Drosophila melanogaster: one gene and its partners. The protein of the gene in region 1 interacts with the protein of each later gene in a pairwise test. Each region holds a gene or a part of one and is shown in the gene's direction. Other genes may lie near its edges.

Region 1 (7,513 bases):
ATAGATGGATGGATGCAGGGATGGAGGCGGTGGTGCCTCCAAAACCGCCGCCCTTGAGTTTCCATGTCTAGGCTCTGCGTAGACAAAGTGCCAAAAGTTTGGAAGCCTTTGCGAGATGAAGCTGAAGGGAGGAGAGAGAAATGTATATGAAAATTTCAAAATCACAACATCACAACAGAACTGCAACAATTACTCATCATCATCAGCTACAAATATAGATTTCTTAGAATATTGTTCAATAAATATTATTTATAAGATTTAACATAATACACATAGATATCGTTTAAGGTGCCAACTAAAAATATATAAGGTTAACAGTTAGTAAATGAACAAATTAAACAAAATAACAATTATTAATAATTACAAAATAAATTATTATGAATTACACAATACAGTTTAAATGATCTTACAATTTTTTATAAAAATGTATTTTTAAATCTTGCATTACTTAGCAATTGTTTTTGGCACTTAGTTAAACAAATGCCAACATTTATTGTCACTCCTTTATTAAGAAATTACATGTTTCCTACCTGATATAAAAGAAGCACAACAAAAGAAGTACCCATCGCAAAATCCCCCAGGATCAAGCATTTAATGTAGCTCCATTGTCCTTTAAATTCCCTGCACATCCCCGTGCTCCGTGTACTGATTATGAATCGCAAAGATTACCGCACATAACTATTATCATCGTCGGAGTTGGGAAAAGTGGGCTGGGAAAGCGAAAGATGGCTGGTTGGTTGCCAGTTAAATGGTTCGCCCGCACACTAATTGTGAGTAACACGTTCGCGTTTACGAAACTTTTCTGGGAATTTTCGTCGGAAAAGAGGCCAAGAGCCAGGAGTTTCGACCAGACAAGTCCTCATCTCGGCAACTGGGTACTGGGAACTCTGAACTGGAAGCTAGACATACAGTCAGCCGGCAAAGTGCTTAGACATTAAAGTTTTTGGCGCCCCGGTTTAATAGACCAGAAAATTCATTTTGGCCAGGTTTAAAGGGCCACCGGCCACCCTCATTAACAGCTAGCTCTTTGAGCAAAATTCTCCTGGACACTGGGCCGCAAACCTTAATTAAAGCAGCGGGACTGGTCTTTAAGCTTAGTCCTTTTTATAGCGTTCGAAAATCAATAAATTTAAAATGTACAAGCCACTGCGGGAAAAGGGAATAAAATCCTAGCCAGCTCACAAACACACACACACACGGTAAAAATAAAAATAAGAAAAGAAGGACAACAAAATTCCAGCCATTGAGGGAGAGTCCTGTTTTTTTTTGGGGGGGCGGGGATGTTGTTGCTGAGGCGACAAAGCAAGCAAGAAATCGCCGAGCCAAACATCCTTTTGTCAATACAAAATACGTACGTACAACAAAACAAATAAATGTGCCCACGAGCAAAGACAAAGACAAAAGTCAAAAGTGCAAAATGAAAAATCAAACAACAACAACAACAACAAAACCAGCAAAACACAAAAAGCCAAAACAACTCAGAAGCGCCACCCGGATTCAAAATCGGCATTAAAACGCATGAGATGAGATGAGATGGTATGATATGGGGGTTCCGATCGACGCATGCGCCAAAAGCTGGCGAATCTCACGGAAGCTGGGGAAAGGCAAATGGCTGGCTCTCAATGGCTTGCACGGGGATGGAGCCAAAAAGGATATGGGAGCACAGGATGTGCCATAAAATGGCGCACACGCACACACACACAAAGGCAAACAGTGGGCACTTCTCCTTCGGGTTGGAGAGAATTTCCTATCTCGGCAGCAGATGCTTGTGCATTTGGCCAAAGAAGAGCAAATGATTTTTAACAAATTTCATTAACATCAGAGGTCCGTAATCATTCAAGCATCGCGTTTCGTAACAGGGCCAGGTCAGAAGTCCGATACTGGCCGCCCCAAAACAACAGTTGCCAACTGCATTTCGAGTCCCCAAATGTGTCCTTAGGCGTCCTGAAAGCTGTGCTCACAAAATGTGCAAAGATACGTAGGAAAATCGCGTGAAAAGCCCTGAGAAAATTTCATAAATGTCTGTGAACGTGATTATATAGTTTTTCTATTCCCGAACTGAACGATTCCAAAATGATCGACGAACACCATCCCATGCAGATCGGAATGTGTAAGTATGGGCAAACCCGAGGAATATGAAGTCTGAATCTATTCCAATAACCGACGGCATTACAAGCCCAACATTCCCAATCCCGTCGGCATTTTTCTATCAGTTTATTAATTATGTTAAAAAGTGCTCATTAATTTATGGTATGTAAATAGCTTCAAGTAGAAGAGTGCATATATTTCATTCACTTTTTCTCTAGTTTAATCATAGTTTAAATATTAGCATCAAGTGATTAGCTCAAATCAAATACCTTTAGATAAGTGAATTAGGAATAAGCCACCATGTATCATGTGTTATATCGGTAATTGTGATATCACAATTGCACACTTTTCAAAGGTATAAAGTGGATTTTCGTTTTGGCCATTAGTGATTTTGATTTATAACAGTCAAAGAGATCAGCACATTTTATACAAATTTTATTCAGTTGAATTGGTTTTAAAAATACTAACTTAATAGCAGCATAAATAAGTTTTGCACATGAAATTATTAGAAACCAAAGATGAATTATTTGTGAAAATTTGCCATTTTCTTGCTAAATTCTACTTCGCACAAAGCAAATCCCAAGTTTAAACATTGCATCTCAACACTTTTGCTTCAATTTGCCTTCAGTGAATGCTATTTAGCACCCAGAGTGGCAAGTATGCATATGACCGACTGCACACACGTCCACTCGAATCCGACTGGCTGAAAGCCAATGAAAATTACAACATATTTTCCAGAGCAAAGCAAATTTTGACTTCTGTCAGAGATTAGGACAAAACAAAGCATTTGCGCTGCGATTGCTGGCACAACAAAACGGCAATGGCACCATAACTCTATTGTCTACTCAAATCCGATTAAATAAAGCGCTGTCAGTTGCTGCCGAGCGAACTGCTGGCAACTGACAGCGGATTCGGAGGCAGCACACAGCATCCTGGCAGCGCAGCCGACATCCTGGCAAGCATTTCCAAGGGTTTCCGCTTACCCACTCACTGTCGTCGACTGCCAACATATGCCGCCAGCAGCCAGCCGCCAGCCGCCGTAACCGAAATCCTGATCCCCTCCAGCCTCATCCTCATGCTTATTTGCTAAGCCCGAGCATATTTTCCGTAAGGGTGGAAATCCGCCAGCTAAATGCCCTCGGTTAGCCCCCGGATTCATTGAAATTCGTTTATAATCTACATAGTTATGAGCACTGCAAGGGGTGGCATTTGCAACCCGTCCCTCGATTTCCACTGCACATTAGAATCTAATTAGAGCGTGGGCAAGTGGAAGTGCTATCAATGTCGGCTTTACACTTGTCGTCCCAAAATCCTCGAGCTCTATTCTCCGACATGTCCGGCAAACATGTTGGTATATTTTCAAATGTCAAATGGCAATGACAGAGCACTAAAAGTGTAACAGGTGTGGTTGTTGAGCGGATTATTCCGCTGCACATCTTAGGAAATAGCTTCCCGCAGTTCCAAGTGTCACAAGTTAATGGGTATCGGGAATGGGGAGATCAGGACCTTGGAAATTGGGTTAAACACTGCTGGAGACTTCAGTTGCTATGAATAAGTAGCATATTGAAAAGTTTATAAAGCCAAAATACACCCAACGAACATAGCACACATGTCAGCAATATTTTGTTACACATAAATGAAGTTTAATTCATTATTAAATATATAAAAAGAATTGTATATAAAGGTGAAAACTCAAAAAATGCTTTAAAAAAATATATATAATGCTAATGCCAAAAGTTACAAAATAATTCAAAGAACAAGTTTTCAGCTTAATTTCTAAATGTTTTTAGATAGAGCAAAGCTAAATTGTTTCTGCAGGTTTTATATTGCGGTGGTTTTGTATAAATCAACCAAAAACTATATTGAATTTCATTTAGAGTACTGAAGTCACAAAAATATTTGCTGACTATTTTACAAATCGCTTAATTGGTTGACAAAACACTATTTGATTCCCATTTTCCCAGCTATTTTTCTGCATAGTTTTTCTATATCCAAATGGCAATTAAATGCAGTCCAATTAAATGTACTGAGAGCTGCAATCGACTATTTTCGCATTTATTTGTCATTTGGCAGAACAAACTGAGTGCAAGCTGGTCTAGAGCAATTCACGTCAATCAGTGCAAGAGGTGTAGCAAAAATTGTTAATGTAAACGATGGCTGGAATACTTTAACATTCTGGGCATATTTCTGGCATAAATTGGCATACCAGATATTATTTTTGCAAAACATTTAATGAAATTACGCACACATTTAAATCACTCAAATGCGGAATGACAAACACACACGCATGTGAAACGCACACCAGTGAAAACAAGGGAAAAACCAAACAAAATGAACGTCACACACACACAGAGGAGCACAAAAGCTGGAAGCTCGAAACAAATTACGTTGAAATTTCAACAATTTGCCATAAATTGAGACAACAAGGCACAAAAAGCCAACCAGTCAGCACCGCAAATGTACAGTAATTTTTTGCCACCAAGCCAAACAATCGCACATACGCATCGGTTACGCATACGCCACGTTGGTCGTATTTTTTACATGCCACATTTCGCATGGCATTTCGGGGAATTTCGAGTGCAGTCGCACTCACACTCGCACATTTACTCACACTCTTTCCGTTGGTGGAAAAGTCATTTCAATAATTGCAAAACCACAAATTTACTACAACTCGAAACGGTTATGGTCACAGTGCGAGGCAGATGGACATTGGTCCTGCCCGCAAAAACGGGAACCCTTTTTATGCCTGATGACCGAACCATAGTTGTAAATTGAGGGCGCTCTTGGCCACATTGAAAATAAAAATAACTGAAATGTTTCTCATTTGCATGTTCCTTTGGGGCGGTGGGCTGATCTGGACCAACGACACGACCGCAAAACCAAAATAGTTCCGATGGACATAAAATGTCAACAGCAGCAACTGGGTGCTGGCCAACTGCCGCAAACTGGGGGCCTCAATCAACTGCTGCTGTTGAACGGAAATGAACGCATGTTAACAACACCAACGACAGCAGCAACATCGGTGGTGGTGGCAGCCGGAAGGAGTGCGAGTACCAAAGCCGGAGTAGCCCACAATGACAAAATGGCGTCAGTCAGCAGAACTGTCAACGGAAGTTGCAGTAACCACAACAGCAGCAACAGCAGCAGCAGTAGCAGCACCAACAGCAGCAGCAACATGGCCATAAACAAGCAACCGATGGGCATGGGACCGGGCACAGGAACCGGAATGGGAACAGGAACAGGACATGGTCCAGGACCACCCAACCATACACACTGCAACCGCATCACTTTGGGCGAGTGCAGCCTCAATGGAATGGACGGCTTTGCAACGCCGGCAGCACCTCCATCGGCATCCAACACACCGCAAGCGCCTCTGGGAATGGCCTCCAATTCCGGCATGGGCATGGAACTGGGCCTGGCCATGGCATCGCCGCAGCTGAGCCAGTGCGCCCACTGCTGCCAGCCCATTTGCGATCGCTACATCATGCGCGTGGTGGAGAACTCCTTCCACGAGGGCTGCCTCAAGTGCACCGCCTGCTCGCTGCACCTGGTCCACTCCTGTTATGCGAGGGAGGGCAAACTCTACTGCCGCGTCGACTACGAGAGGTGAGTCCTGATTACTGAACCCTGCCAAACGGGGGGCGCTTAAAACAATCAACTCCGTGTGAGTTGCACTTACTTTAAAATGGTAGTGTTTATTAAATGGTACAGCTTAATATTTGAATGATATGATATATATTTATATTTTCGCTCCACAGACTCTACATCCGCAATCATTGCCTTGGCTGTGGCCTTAAAATCGCCGCCGATGAGCTGGTGATGCGATGCCACGAGAACGTCTTCCATCTAAAGTGCTTCGCCTGTGTGGTGTGTGGAGCTCTGCTGAAGAAGGGGGAGCAGTATGTGGTCAAACAGGGGCAGCTCTTCTGCCGCTTCGACTACGAGAAGGAGGTGGAGATGCTACAGGGATACGGTGGGTAATGGCCCTATTCGAAATCGGTTCCCAATGATAACCATATAACTATGTAGATTTCTATGGCGATGAGCTTTTCCCGCCCAAATTAGACGGACGAAGAGGACCCAAGCGACCGAGAACCATTCTAAACACGCAGCAAAGACGAGCTTTTAAGGCCTCCTTCGAAGTCTCACCGAAACCGTGTCGAAAAGTGAGAGAGAATCTGGCCAAGGATACTGGATTAAGCCTGAGAATTGTGCAGGTGCGTAAAGAGGTTTAAATGGAATTTAATCATTACATATTCTATTAAACCAATATCGTATTTTGTAGGTTTGGTTCCAGAACCAGCGAGCCAAGGTCAAAAAGATTCAGAAGAAGGCCAAGCAGGAGCCGCCCAGCAAAGGAGCTAGTGACTCGCAGGACTCGCAGGAATCGCTGGACAGCAGTCTGGCCACCAAAATCAAGGACGAGGCGCACAGCGACAGCGAATCACAGCTGGAATCGCCGTACTCGACGACCTCCGATGGACTGACCCGGATGCGATGCACCATTAAGGACGAACAGGAGCAAGTGCCCTTCAACTGTATGGAGACCAATAAAGGTGGGTTATGCCCTTTAAGGATATTTACGTATCAAGGAATATAAAATACAATTTACAGAGAACTGCAACAAGAACAGCGAGCCCATATTGAACACCATTCTAGGTCTGAGCTACGCCACCTTTCAGCAACTAATGGGTCCCTTTGCCCAGACGCCTATGATCAATCCGATCGACCGACTATATAGTATGCAAAGCTCCTACTTCCGGCCGGAGGAGCTGCAATCCTACGGCGAATGCGGCGTCAAGGACTCCATGGATCACTAGTCCGCCCGGCGAAGGCCGTCGAATTTTAAGCCCAAATCAAAATTAGACCTTGTAAAATAAAAGAATGTTAATGTGCTAGCAATCGAACTTAAACACCCCGAACCCGGATAAGTGGATTTACTGCCCTTCCACCCCCCTTGGAAGCTGGACCACTTGCGCAATCCACCCACCGGCCGGGTTGGTGGTTGGTGCATCCCATGTTGGTGGCTCTGCAGGTGCAGTCTCGAAATTAGTTCCGCTCGGTTGACAGGCACAAAGCATTTGCCACAGCAGTCGCAACCCTGCTGAATTCGTCCTTTCGGCTCGGAATGGGCGTAAAATGCCGATTCGTCATGCGTAGTTCAAAGGCTCGGATACGAAGGGATCCGGAACCGTATCCTCCCCACGATGACGAGCCGTTTGATAGCGTCGACATGAATGTGCTGCAAATGCCGCCCAAGGACAGCACTTTTAACTAGCATCCTGGCCTTTCGTTTTGCTTGAGCGGAAGAACTGCATCGGAATGTCCCAAACCCAAAATCTAAGACAAATTGGGTGGTAAATCCTTAAGCTTTCAAAGGCATAGAAAACCAAACTATAAAAAATGCTTTTTAACAAACAACTTT
Region 2 (4,694 bases), on another chromosome or scaffold:
ATATTGCAGAGGGTACTCTGTCAGAAGTTTACAACGTAGTAAATTGGAAACATATAAATCATATAACATATAATGTTATGATTATACACATATCGTCCCATGTTCCATTTTCCGTCCATATGAACGCTGTGATCTCGGGATAAAAAAAGCTAGAAAGTTATGATTTAGCCAGCAGGACCATTCCTACTGTCTGAGTAACGGATATCTGATAGTCGAGGAAGTCGACTACAGCGTTCTCTCTTGCTTTAAATACACATATTTGTGTTTATTGCAAGGGTATCTAAGCTTCGACTTATCGGCGCCATCTTCTTTTCAGGTTGTGTATTGCGTTTTATCCGTGGCCTTGCCGATGCCAATCTCTTTTGCCGAGGCATGGGTAATTTTCGGCAAATAGAACTCTTGCCCAGGCTCAAAAGTCTTAACACATGTCTTGGGGAGAATTGGAGTAGAAAAATTGTAACACATGGTTAAGCACATTTAATCGTTGGGGTCTTAACCTTTTAATTTTATCACCCGCTCAACTTAACATATTTAAAAGGGTTAGGTTTTGAAAGATCAACTGTTTTGGCTTAAAGGTAAAATCTGCTCTTTTCTTGACTTATTCATCTTGTCCACTATAAATGCACTTCGCGAGTCAACTAAAAAAAGAGTCCGAAAACGTCAAATAGCTGCTGGCAACAACAAAGAATATGTCAGTCTTTTTTCTAAATCAGGAAACTTTTTCTTTCCTGTATCAAACTTTTGGATAGGTTTTTCACGAGCGAAAGCGGAAAAGTTAAATTTTCCGCTTAGTCCTAGCCGTAGACAAGCCATTTCATTTAAGAGGCCATCCCATGGGATCACTGGGCAGGCAACAGCCATCAACAAGAGAAATGATTAAACTTGACTGACCAGACACGCGCCTTAATGTCGTCAATTGACCTCAATCAATTATACACAATATTTTTTATTTGACCTTCGTTTATTCCATTAGAGTTTTTTTTATTTGTATTAAAATTCGGCGATGTGACTGTAAAACGCATCTGAGGCAGCCATTTGGCCTAGGAATAACATTTTTTCATGATTTAGCGTTGTTGTACGAGCTGAATTTGGTATGTGCTAGATAAAAACCAGCCGTTAAGCAATTTCAAATGTCGGGACACGGGTGAAATAAGCATTTGCCACCCGCAGTCAGTTCCGAGCAGGGGATGTCTTGGATGCCCCGTTGCGAGCAACCGCTTAGCAAAAGGCAAAGCCAGATATTATATGTTATCACCAGCGATGTATTACTGCTTCTACAGCACAGTGACTCAATATACAAATAAAGGTGAGAAAAAAATGCGATTCTCCTTTTTTTGACTTGTGCAAGAGCTTTTGATTTTGGAAACGAAACGTAGCCCAGAGAGACAGGGTATGGCGTTCCGTTGTATTTCGTGTTAGATAAATCATAAAGCAAAAATAATTTAATACACTTGCGTGCCCTGGTTGTAGCTCTGGCGACGAGGCGTATGTGCAATGCGGCGTGTCGGTTAATCATTTGCTTCTTTTATGAGCAGCCAAGCCGAATAATAAGCCTCAAAGAAAAGCGAGCTTAAAGGTGCACCTCAAACTCTGTTAAATTCACGGCCTATCACGACGGCACGACCCAACGCTCAACGCCAACTCATTATTTCCCCTGCAGCTCTAATTAGAGTCAAATATAACTAGGGGGCCTTGAGGACCCCGTACGCTAGCCTTGGCCATATTTAATGCGAGCTGAAAGGTCCGCGAGTTATGCAAATTTGCCCCGCCCACCGAATGCTCCGAACATTGACAAAATTATGCGCAATCGCGGGCCAGTCTCTCGGCTACCAACTTCCGGCGACAAAGTCAAGTCATGGATGGACATCCTGACCTCGCCCGCGGGTCCAGCCATTAGTCGTCATTAAAGATGATTGAATGCGAGCCCCGCTTTTGCATTGTATAAAAGGGGCACACTCCTGGTGACAACAGGGTAGGTAAAGTTGCCTTGGCGTCAGTTGGCAGTTTGGGAAAAGCCTACACACTTAATATTTCGATAGATACACTTATTTCGCAATCGTAGAAGATACCACAAATCTCTCTTCCGTAAATTATAAGTATGTCCAAGAGGGTGAGCATCATGTTGCCCGACGAAATACCTGCGGCTCCGTCAGGCAGCAGGAGGAACCCGATGCCCAGCCGCACACTCAAAAGTTCCATTAAAAGTGGATCAAGCGCTCGGACGCAACCCGCACCGCCAGTGTTCGTGGTTGTCAACCCGGAGAGCAGCCAAAGCTCGCTTACCTCGGGTCAGCGGAACAACACCAGCACGACCAGCAACAGTTCCCTTAACCAACGAAATAAGGAGCACTCCGCGGCGAGGTTGTCAGTAACCGAAGATACGGCAGCCCTGGACAGCAGTGCCTTGCTTCAAGGTGGATCCTCAAACTCTCGTGATACAGTTAACTTCGATTCGACCTCCACCTCGATCAGGATGTTCCTTAAGAACACAGTGGGCCTTGTCAGGGCAGGAGAGTCCTTCACATCTGTAAAACATCTCTTTCACAAGTTCATCAAACGCAGCGGTTCTGTGCCAAATTCCAAGCGTTCGTTGACATCCTCCTGCTCCCAGGCGGTAGATGAGGAAAATCCCTATATGAGCAAGTCCAATGATACGCTTCTGACGGACTCGCCCACCCGCACTACTGTGCCCAGCACCTCCCAGATAACGCCCACCTCACATTTCTCCAACTGCTCATTCAATAACACGAACTACGACCTTTCCAACCTCCTCTCTGACATCACCCCTTTGACTGGCTACACGCCAGTGGGTCTCACTGAGGAGGCTGACTACCGAACAGACACTTCCGCAAACACCGCATTGAACAGTGTGACATGCAATTTGGCGAGCTCGTCGGAGAATCCTTTGGGAAGCGGATTCGACAACAGTCCCTCGAAGATTTCTACCGATCAGGAGAAGATAGCGGACACACAAGGACGTCCTACTTCCAGAAATCGCTTTAGCAGCAAATCTTTTCGCCAGAAACTTAAGACCTCGCGCTCTAGTTCACCCAGAAAGTCGCCCAAGATGTCACCTCGAAATAAGCAGTCAGCACCTGCAATGGAACCCATATTTGCAATGGTTAGTTCATCTGGGCCTAACTCTTCTGAGGGATCACGGCGATCGAGCAAATCGAGCCTGAGGCGGAAGCAAAGTCCATTACCCAACGTAACTGCCAAAATCTCGGCCACCTCTAATTCAAGAGCGGACTTGGCTAAAGCGCCCAAGTCCAGGAAAGAAACCACCGCCCGATCAAACCTATCAAGAAAGAGCTACCGCCGGAGTTCACCCAGAAGCCGAAGTCGAGGTTCTCGGGCAAACGCCTTAGAGAGCCCCCTTCAAAAGAGCGAGGACACCCCCGACAATGTAGAGTACGCCTTCGCTCTGGTCAGCCCTGAGGAGGCGGGGAACAGTCAGCCTGAAGAAAGTAGTGCCGGTGTCGAGGATGCCTCCTCCAAGTGCGAGACATACCAAAAGGATTGCAATTGCCACCATTGCCAGGACATGCGTCGGGCGGTCAAGAGGTCCGACTTTTTCAAATCTCCCGAGGGACAGAAGCGGCTAGAGGCGAAGCTACTGGCCAAGAACTTCTTCATGGACCTATGCGTAGCGTCAGAAGTGCGCCGACAGGCTCAGTCCGATCTGCATGGAAAACGACGTCCTCCATCAGCGCGTCTCAGTTACCCGGTGAGCATCTGTGGAGCGTGCAGGCTGAGCGGAGGCTCGCTGTCGTTGCATTGGATCACCCATGACCTTGACAGCGTAGACCACTTCGACGTTTTTGTGGACAACGTGCCAAACCGTAGTGTCTACAACCGGCAGGCCACCTCCACCGTGCTCGTCGACGTGAACACCACCGAGACGCACACGCTGCGCCTACGAGCGGTGCCGGAGCGTGGGAGCCGTGGTCAGGATTCCTCGGTGGACAAATTCATGTCGGAGGTGGCGGCCGGGCATATGCGTCACGTCAGGCAGGGCCAGCTCTTCGCCACGTGCTTCGCGCACCTGGACGCCCGGCCGCAACAGCGTTCACTGGTGGATTTCTGGACGGACAGCGAGTTCTTGTACATGCCCACCCGCGAAACTCTTACGCCTTCAAAGGCTCGCTGACTGGCGAAAATAAACTGATTTATGAGCAGCAGTCCGTTTTGGGAGTGGATATGCGGCAGGAACAGCTGCGTGGGTGAAAATTGATTAGGCTAATTTAGAAGTGATGACCAATCGGCGCACTAAACTCTCAGTGCAAAAGCAGTGGCCCGGCTCCCACCTGCACCACGTTTTGCGAGATATTCAAAACGAATCGTGGGCCTGGTGCGGCCATCAGTCAACGAGACATGGGCGCTAAGCATCCCGCGCGTCTTTATCAGTGGCTTGCAGGCAGGCTGGCTTGGCGTGGGGGGACTGGTACTGACGAAGGCGTTTCGCGCTGATCTGTCAGAGATTTTGGGCCGCAAAGTGGCATGATTAATTATTTGGCAAATATTTGGATTCCGCGCTCTCAGCTCAGCTGGCTTCACCATGGAAATAAGGAAAACCAAAAATATGCGGACTGGCACTTTCATAGAGGAAAGAACGGGCGAGAAACCCAAACCGTTCAGTATTTTAATTAATTTTCACTTTCGTTGGGGACTAGTGAGCATTCCATCGACAATGT
Region 3 (4,392 bases), on another chromosome or scaffold:
ATCCAGCCGGCAGATGGGGCCCTCCTCCACCATCTTTAGATCCACTTTGGGTCCGACCAAATCGCGAATGTTGTTGATGCCGTACTTGATCATGGTGGGTCGCTCCAGCGACAGACCCCAGGCGATTACATTCACGTTCTCCGGCAGTCCCATGGGCAGCAGCATCTCCGGCCGGAAGACGCCCGAGTTGCCCACCTCGATCCACTTGGCCAGGCCGGGGTGATAGCAGAAGATCTCCATGCTGGGCTCGGTGTACGGATTGTACGCCGGCTTGAATTCAAGCTGCGTGATGCCCAGCTTTCTGAAGAACTCGTACAGCGTGCCAATGAGATCGCCCAGCGTCAGACCAACATCTGCAATCACGCCCTCCACCTGATGGAACTCCGCCAGATGTGTGGCGTCCAGTGTTTCGTTGCGGAACACCTTGTCGATGCTGAAGTACTTGGCTGCTTTGAAGCCGCCCTCCTGGTTGGCCAGCTTGTACAGCATCCTCGCACTCACGGCCGTCGTATGCGTGCGCAGTAGATTCTTCTGCGCCTCCTCCAGCTTCCAGTCGTAGCCGTAACCCTTCGATCCATAGCCACCCACAGAGTGCACCTTCTTCACGCGCTCCAGATAGTCCTGCGGAAACTTGTGGCTTTTGGCCGGATGATTCACGAAGAAGGTGTCGTGGGCATCGCGAGCTGGATGCTGTTGCGGCTGATAGAGCGCATCGAAGTTCCAGAATGACGATTCCACATAGTTGTTCGTAGGCATCTCTGAGAAGCCCATCTCGAGGAATATCTGCCGGAACTCAGTGCGCACTTTGAGCAAGGGATGGAGATGTCCACGCGTTGGTGGTGCACCCAACGCATCAAAGTTATAGGCCTTGAACTTGAGCTGGTCCCACAATCCATTTGCGAGCATTTCCACCGTGAGATCCGTCTCCAACTTGGTGAGAGTGGTGGCAAATTCAGGGCCGCGTGCCAGCACGAAGCTCTTGGTGGTCGTTTCCTGGAGGAGCTTGCGTTTCTTGAAGTCGGCCACCTCCTTGGCAGGCAGCTGGTCACCCTTTCCCAGCGCCACCTGCTGCAGTTGATTGCGCACCACATCCGTAATGGTGTCCACCTTGCGGCGCACCAGCGGCGGCGTGACGCTCTTGTCCACCAAAATCCAGCCGTGCGACATGGCTTTGCTAAAGCCCACTTTGGCATTTGCGCCACCGGCTGCCATTAGAGCCGCCTGGGCGATTCCCTCCGGCGGAACTAGGTCGTAGACCAGTGCCTCATGACTGCCATTCTCCACGACGGCGCGACCCTCGTCTGTGAGGCCCAAACTCTTGTGGGTGACCGTTTCCGCGGTGACTAGTTCGCCATGCGCCTGTATGCTCTTCAATGAGCCCACAATCTTCTGGTGATCCTCGGCAAAGAGTGCGGCCAGGTCCAGTGTGTCCGCCTTGTCGGTGGTCTCCAAATGCTGGAGAATGCGCTCCGTGAGATCGGGATGCATAGCTGGCGGTTCAATGGTTGTATCTTTCAAGGAAATTCGGAATTTCAATACCGGAATCTCGTGTTGCCACAACGCAGCCTATCGGAGCTATCGTTCTTCGATAACTGCGTCTATCGTTCGAAACGACGACGGTGGCTAAAAAATAGCCAATAAGCTTAAAATAGCTATAATTATATCTAGATATTGGAAATTTGTATAAATATTTCAGCGAATAGTAAGATATGATACTTTTGTCACTAACATTTCAAAAGTAAATGAAATAATAATAAAGATGTCTCATATAAAGAACTGGTTTCAACTCGGTTTATTTTTCCGCTTACCATCACAGTGGCACCTCCAATAAAAACAGCTGTTGACGCCAAGACTAAAAGTTTGCGTTCCAATTAGAACGGCGAATATATTCGAAAAAAGGAGCAAATCCTGGGGAGCAACGGCCAGGTGGGAGCCGCAATCATGCTCAAGTCCCTCAAGCCGGACACGTACGCCGGAATGGCGAACGCCAAGTGCGGCGAGATCTACTTCCAGAGCCTGCACAGCTTCCGCATCGACTGTGCGTTCTGCGAGATGAAGAGCTTTGTGTTCGGAGACTTCCTGCTCCACGTCCAGAACATTCACTTCGAGAACGGCCTGCTGAAGACGGAGGCAACGGACGCCGGTGCGAATCTCAAGCAGGAGCGGGATCGTGAGCGGGAGCCTAACTCGCCGGTGCCCATTGTGGCGCAGGTGAATCCATTTGCCTGGTACGAGATTGGTGGCGATCACAACGAGGACAGCGACGATGAGCGCGTTGTCCTGGAAAAGCAGGATGAGGACGAAGATGAGCGGCCAGGCAGAAGCATAATCAAGTGGCAGGACCATCAGTCGCTGACCAGCGAATCTCTACGTCAAGTCCGAGCCCTCAAGGTGGACTACAAGGAGGAAGACTCCGAGCAGGAGGAGTGCGGCATGGAGCTGGATCTGGACAGCGAAGGCAGGCACTCTGCCAAGATTCCGCACTCGTGTCCGCACTGCACAAAAGTTTACCAGAGCCGCAAGGTCCTCGAACGCCACATAATGCGCCAGCACAAAGACACTCTCTCGCCGGATGTGGACAGCGAGGACGCGGACTACGAGCCGCCCAAGGATGCGCCCGTCAAGTCCGCTGCCCAGGAGTACAAGTGCGAGCACTGCGGCAAGATCTACCATGGCAAATACAGTCTGCGTCAGCATTTAAAGCGGGATCATGACAACGGCGAGGAAGGAGGCTCCGCCATCTTCACCTGCCTGGAATGCGAGGCCCAATTGCCGCGCCTGCGCCTGCTGGACGAGCACATGGTGCAGGCGCATGGCGGCGCTGCCTGTGTGGTTTGCGGGCGGCGCTACAAGACGCGACACGAACTGAAACGCCACCAGCTCAAGCACACCAGCGAACGGAACGTGCCCTGCCCGCATCCCGGCTGCGGCAAGCGCTTCTTCACCATCCGTCATATGCGCAATCACGGCAAGGTGCACACGGAGCAAAAGAACTTCGTCTGCGAGAGCTGCGGCTACAGCTGCCGGAACAAGGAGACGCTGCGCGTCCACATCAGGAGCCACACGGGCGAACGGCCGTTCGGGTGTCAAGTGTGCGACAAAAGATTCCCCTCCCATTCCGGCCTGCGAGAGCACATGGCCATGCATTCCACGGAGCGACCGCATGTGTGCAGCGTTTGCGGTGCGACCTTCTCCCGACAGAAAGGCCTCTACCACCACAAGTTCCTGCACGCGGACACCAAGCAGTTCGTGTGCAAGCTGTGCGGGAATGCCTATGCCCAGGCCGCCGGTCTCGCTGGACATATGCGCAAGCACCGGAACGACGAGCTCAACGGATAGGATCCGGATCACCGAGGTCGTAGTCTAAGTTGTACGTTTTGTATCTTCCAATTCCGACGTTTAAGTTCAGGAACTCAGGCATAGGCTATATATAGGATTACCATAGAAATCAATGGTTTTTTGCATTGCTCCGGCATGGAGCGGGTATCATGTGACTCTTCGGTCCTCGTTTCACGGGTTTCCATCGAATTTATTTGACACGCACTGTAAATAATATCCCTAGTTTTAGATAAACTGAAAGTTTGTTAATCTGTTTCGAGTGAACTTAGTTTGAGGCAAATTTAATTGGCTCGATTGTAAGTACTAAGACTAAACTACATTTCCATGAATTTTCTAAACTACCAACTCAAATAATAACTAAACTTTGTTAAGGTTTAAACTATACATTAAGCACACAATGCTTCCAAGAACCAAATCGAACGCCGTAATCTCGGCAACCGGATGTGGCTAGTATTCGAATGGTTAACTTTTTTGTATTGATAAATATACATAACATGAATTTGATTCGCAAAAGAGAGCCCGCGTTTAAAATTAGCCAAGCGATTTGGTACCTTTGACAGCAATTAATCGGTCGACTGCTGCTAAAGCGGCCAAATGCCAAGATGGTATTGGATGGGGTGCGTCTAACAATAGTGCCGACGATTAGATTTGGCACACGCGGACCGACCATGTCGGCGGAACGTCCAGCTGCCAGCTCCGATAATCGGCGACTTATGTGCGAGTTCTGCGGCTATCGGACGCGCATCTATTGGAATCTGCAGATCCATCGTCGGCGACACACCGGCGAAATGCCCTTCAGTTGCCAGCAATGCCAGGCGCGTTTCCCGGCCAGCTATCAGCTGAAAAGCCACTTGGAGCGGCACTTGGACGCCGGCGAGCGACGCCAGCGGCACATTTGCACCGACTGCAACGTGGGTTTCTCCAGTTCGCGGGCCCTGTACCATCACCGGACGCTCCACGAGGATGGGAAGCGCTTCAAGTGCTCCCAGTGCGACAAGTCGTTCGCTCAGGCGGCGGGCTACGCCCAACACAAGCGGATTCACCGCCAGAGGA
Region 4 (5,036 bases), on another chromosome or scaffold:
CTTGCCAATGGATTTCACCAAGTGAGTTAAATTCTTTTTCATCTCGGTCGAAGCATTTTCGTTCATAAATGTATATAATATATTTAAGACCTCATGCCTTCGATGCCCTGACAAAGCGGAAACCGGCTCCCAGACTTTTCTGCGACATCTGCGATGAGTTTGATCAGCACGATACGGAGGATTGTCCAATCCAGGGAAGCGAAGATCAAGACTACTCCACACCGTCATCCGAGTCCAACAACAACGAGAAGGAGCGGAAGCTGCCGGCACCCAGGAAATACTGTGATTCCTGCGAGGGTGAGTAAAATAAAATATCAAATTTTACTGACATTTAACAATGTTTTTCCCAATTACAGTTTTTGGCCACGATACGAGCGAATGTGCCGATGATGAAACCTATTAGTTAGCTCTAGTTAAATTCTATTATTTCCATTTTACTTTGTTTTAGACTCTATAGCATAACCATATTGCGAGATCTATCAGATGAGATACTTTTACCTCAGCAGAGCTTCACTCAATCACACAAAGAAATTTCTCTACTTAAAATTGTGATCTTGCGTTATGCACACATCCATGGATAGTAGTCTATTTTAAATTGTTTTTATTTATTGAATGCGATTCGTGGCAAACACACAATCGGTTGTTTTCGTAATTTTTGAGTGTAAACATAGTGTAAAAAATAAAATCAAGAACGTGGAAGAAGAAGCTTTTATTGGGTTTTCATAAGACTAAGGAATTAATTGGTAATTATATGATTAATCGCCGCCCTCCTTCTTCTCCTTGATGGCGTCCTGAAATCAGAGAAACATGGATATTAAAGAAATGTTTCGAGGACGTTTTGTGCAGGTAATACTTTGAAACGCTCTTCGAAGAGAGATAATTCTGCTAGAAGATCGGTTATGGCGTTCATGAATGCTTCCTGCGGAGAATAATCGGCCGTAGTCTGGATGCGGATGACGAACTTGTGCTCCAGAGGATGCGGAACCTTGTAGCCGGCAAACAGAACATTGGGATCCTTCAGCAGTTGGCTGCAGGCAAGAATGCAAATTTAATGTGTAATCAGACGGGCTTGTTGGCCAACATACTTGCGGATCATGTTGCCCAGCGTGTGATCCTCTTTGTTTATGGTGAATATAGCCGCATTGGTCACTTTGGTGTCCAGTTCCTTGATGATTCTGCAGCCGCGCCATAACAAACATAAAAACGGGTTAAAGGTGGTCATTCGGAGTAGTCTGTTTTCTTTACTCACTTTTTCTCGCCTTCATAGAGCAGAAATGACTCAAAGGTAGGTGGTGCGTTCATTTTGATGTCTTACTTTTCGTTAGTTACTGCAAAACTTATAAATTGTTTATTAAAATCAGCAGCACGCTCAGCAAAATTCTCCGGTACAGTGTTGACTAACGCCCAAGTGCAACACAAGCTAAAGTAGCTATATCTAGCAAAAAGTAGCTAGAACGCCTAGCTAATTTATTTTAGTATTTTATAAATCATTTTTAATGTGAGCATCTATTAAATAAAATAAAACTTGTACTTTGAATTTGAAAATAATTTAATTTGCTTATGTTTTTTGGTCATTAAATAAATAGCTTAATCACTTCTTGCAACCAACACTGGCAGCCGATACCTATCGCATAGACAAGCTGTTGTGGGCCATCCCTAGGTTTCGGTGGTTGAATTATTTGCAAATTTTTATCCAATCGCGCCAAACGCTGCGCATTCCGCCACTTTCGAGAAACTGACACGAAGCCAAGCTAAAAATACATTATTAAACAGCTGACATGAGCGAGTCGAATGCCACAGATGGTGTCCACGAGGTTGAGGAGTCCAATCCGCTGGAGCAGTCGACCATTACGATGCTAGATGTCCTGGAACAGGAAAAGGAGCTGGAGGACGAGTACGCCGCAGTGCTGGGCGCCTCCGATGAGAAGTCGTGCACTTACGCCAAGGGCCCCATCGGCCGACAGGCTCTGTACTCGTGCCTCACTTGTTGCCCCGAGGCGCGCGAGGATCTGGACAAGGCCGCAGGAGTCTGCTTGGCCTGCTCCTATCGCTGTCACGAGCACCACGAACTGGTGGAGCTCTATACTAAGCGGAATTTCCGCTGCGATTGTCCCACCCAGCGTCTGGGCAAGTGCTCCCTGAACCCACAAGTCGAGGGCGTTCAACCACGTAACGTGGGCAATCTGTATAACCAGAACTTCCAGGGGCTGTACTGCAAGTGCAAGCGACCCTATCCCGATCCCGATCGCACCGTTGAGGAGGTTATGCTGCAGTGCGCCATCTGCGAGGACTGGTTCCACTTGCCGCACATGAAAGCGCCCGGCGCCAGCGACAAGTGGCTGGATGTCTGCAGCGAAATGATTTGCGATGGCTGCATGGATGCCAAACCCTTCCTAAAGGACTACACTGGATTAGCCCTGCAGCCTGTGCTAGAAGATGCGAAGGAGGACAAGCCGGAGGCTGACGATAGCCAGCTGAAGAACGAGTTGGACCGCAGCATCTGCGATATCATGAAAGTTCCTGAAGGTGAATCTCAGCCAGACGAAGGCGAACCCAGCCAGAAGCGCGCCAAACTGGACGATTGTCGTCGGCCCAAACCAACCAAGGAGCATCAGGGTGAGTAAATTAATATAGATATACATGCGTATGCTCAAAAAAAAAACATATTTATGCAAAAGCAACCTTAATACATGAAAAGCAAGTCAAAGTTCTTCTTGCCATCGCCCAAGTAAAGGAAACCATGCTTGTGGGAGTTGATTTTGTGAAAGAATGTCATGCCCAACCAAAGGCACGACTTGATTATTACCAAACCCTCGTTCCGTTGCATATTCAGGGCAAAAGCCTGACACAGTGGTATTACGCAGTCAATGGTGTCCAGAAAGTCAATAGCATAGTTATAGTCGCTCCTCTTGGCCAAATTGACTTTGAGATCATTGCGGGGCAGGCGATAGAGCTGGTAATATGATTGGTTGTCGATCTGCAAGTCATTCAGTCCACGAAACATCTGGTTGGGTATAACACGACCATCGGTCATCTTGTAAAAGGCTCCGCGTGGGCAAATGGCACACTCCTCTGTTATAATAAACACAATGGCTGCCAGCCGTTCCTCCTCCTTAAGCTTGACCACTTCAGGGCGGCTGATACCAGCCACCTGATTGCCTACGATGTCAAAAGTGGGGTCCTGTGTGCGTACAATATCAGAAAAACCACCACCACATTTACGTACTATCAACTCACCAGCTTAACGTAGGTCATCAGGCTGGGATCTCCTATAAATGGCTCCCTTGCCAATATAGTCGCCTGAAATATCTTGGGGCTCTGTACGAACGGCAGCAACTGCCATTGGAACTGGTCCAGACTGTAGAAATACTTGCGATCCTTGAGACAGTCATTAGTGTAGCCAAAGGCAATGTAGTAATCGTTCTTGGTGGCCGTAATGCGACCCCAAAGATACATGCCCGTAAAACGATTGTCATTTTGTAAAGCGATCAGCGAGTTTTCAATCAAGATGCGCTGCTCCGGCGACAGCTTCATGCCGCAGTACATTAGGCAGTCGAGGCCCTCGGTGAAGAACTCCAAATTCATGACGAAAGTATCTTAGCAATTTATATGTGAAGTGTTGAAATAAAATATGGATTTAAGTGCTGAGAGTATTTGAAAGAAAACTCAGAACCGTAAAAAAAAATATGTTAGCGGAATGGATTTTTAATTACATGGCATGCATAAATCAGCACAAACTCTTTGAACTGCCAATTTCCCCCATTTATTCATCTCTACCCTTTCTCTTTCAAGGAGCTGCTTTCTGGACAAATGACTGGCGAAAATCACTCTGTCAGTGCTCCGAATGCCTGTCGCTTTACAAGGAACTTGCCGTGGAGTTTCTGCTGGATGTCGAGGATTCGGCTAAGACGTACGAGGAGCGCGGCATGAAGCGGGCTGAAGAGAATTCCAGTTATGAGCAAGGAATCCGGGCACTGGCCTCCATTGACCGGACACAGCAAATCGATGCGATTACCGAATACAATCGCATGAAGGACAAGCTAAAGGAATACCTGCAGGCATTCGCCGCCAGCAAGAAGGTAGTGACCGAGGAGGATATCAATCGGTTCTTTGCCGGCATGCGCAATGAGAACAATGCCAACCTGGGTCAGCCCTATTTCTGTCGCTAAACAGTTAGCACTCTATATTACTCTAGTATTACCCACATTCCCCCATGAAAGCGAAACATACATACATACATCATGTAAATTCTAAAGTTATATTTTATTTAAACAATAATCATTTTCAATTCACTTTTGTCAATAACGAAAAGTCGTAACAAGGCATCGGGCAATGAGATTCGCATTTCCCTCATTAAATTTATGTACATTGCGGTAAAATAGAATTATATAAGACAGGTTTTGTGTTGAAGTTCATTTTGGATTGAGACCTTTTTACATGTAGCTCTAATTGGTTAATTTCCGATATATTTTATGAAATATATGTACACTAGTATTTAGCAAAGTTTGTTGTTCATTTGAATGGCTGAATTCCCAAGCTATTGAGTTCTGCCTCAATGTCCTGGATAAGTTCGCTGGTGTCAATGGGCGCCATGCCTATGCTGCTGGAAATTAGATCACTAAACGATTGGGTGGGTTCATCTGCTGGAGGTTGCTGCTCCTGTGGCTGCTGTTGCTGTTGGTACTGCGACTGTTCTGGATGGGATTGGGCCAGATATGGAATGGACTCTGGCTGCAATTGCGGCAGGAACTGCTGAGTCTGTTGATATACCTGTTTAATGCCAAAATTTCCTTGTGGCGGTATGCTTATGGCACTCATTTTCTGACTTAAAAAGTCATTGTTATTGTTATTAATTAGTACATTGTTGTTATTATTGATTGGTGTCATAGAGCCACCACTGAAATGGGTAGGACTACAGCCGTTTACCGGAAAGTTTGAATTCTCCGGCAGATACATATGGTTATTCCTCTGTCCGATTTGAAACGGCGGAATGCTATCCACTGTACTGCAATTGGACGAAGGCGATGCGAAATTCC

What was found.
Region 2: the proteins of CG4328 (region 1) and CG7856 interact in a two-hybrid assay, tested with the Drosophila melanogaster proteins (one large-scale study listed by BioGRID).
Region 3: the proteins of CG4328 (region 1) and CG2129 interact in a two-hybrid assay, tested with the Drosophila melanogaster proteins (one large-scale study listed by BioGRID).
Region 4: the proteins of CG4328 (region 1) and CG15141 interact in a two-hybrid assay, tested with the Drosophila melanogaster proteins (one large-scale study listed by BioGRID).

Annotation. Positions count from the first base shown.
Region 1 is NT_037436.4:12,290,431-12,297,943, reverse strand, and holds CG4328 (uncharacterized protein), read left to right. Parts: upstream 1-1,820; 5' UTR 1,821-2,073; coding exon 2,074-2,110; intron 2,111-4,976; coding exon 4,977-5,694; intron 5,695-5,846; coding exon 5,847-6,061; intron 6,062-6,117; coding exon 6,118-6,305; intron 6,306-6,373; coding exon 6,374-6,644; intron 6,645-6,702; coding exon 6,703-6,908; 3' UTR 6,909-6,988; downstream 6,989-7,513.
Region 2 is NT_033778.4:6,056,840-6,061,533, reverse strand, and holds CG7856 (uncharacterized protein), read left to right. Parts: upstream 1-1,975; 5' UTR 1,976-2,098; coding exon 2,099-4,150; 3' UTR 4,151-4,177; downstream 4,178-4,694.
Region 3 is NC_004354.4:8,144,008-8,148,399, forward strand, and holds CG2129 (uncharacterized protein), read left to right. Parts: upstream 1-1,831; 5' UTR 1,832-1,941; coding exon 1,942-3,339; 3' UTR 3,340-3,848; downstream 3,849-4,392. Other genes in the region: alpha-PheRS (Phenylalanyl-tRNA synthetase, alpha-subunit), read right to left, coding at 1-1,488; CG15336 (uncharacterized protein), read left to right, coding at 4,008-4,392.
Region 4 is NT_033779.5:17,409,003-17,414,038, forward strand, and holds CG15141 (uncharacterized protein), read left to right. Parts: upstream 1-1,638; 5' UTR 1,639-1,778; coding exon 1,779-2,616; intron 2,617-2,646; exon of another isoform or gene 2,647-2,683; coding exon of another isoform or gene 2,684-3,181; intron 3,182-3,237; coding exon of another isoform or gene 3,238-3,585; exon of another isoform or gene 3,586-3,631; intron 3,632-3,792; coding exon 3,793-4,169; 3' UTR 4,170-4,497; downstream 4,498-5,036. Other genes in the region: CLIP-190 (cytoplasmic linker protein 190), read left to right, coding at 1-21, 89-297, 357-403; Polr2J (RNA polymerase II subunit J), read right to left, coding at 756-791, 854-1,028, 1,086-1,175, 1,250-1,302; Rsph9 (radial spoke head protein 9), read right to left, coding at 2,684-3,181, 3,238-3,585.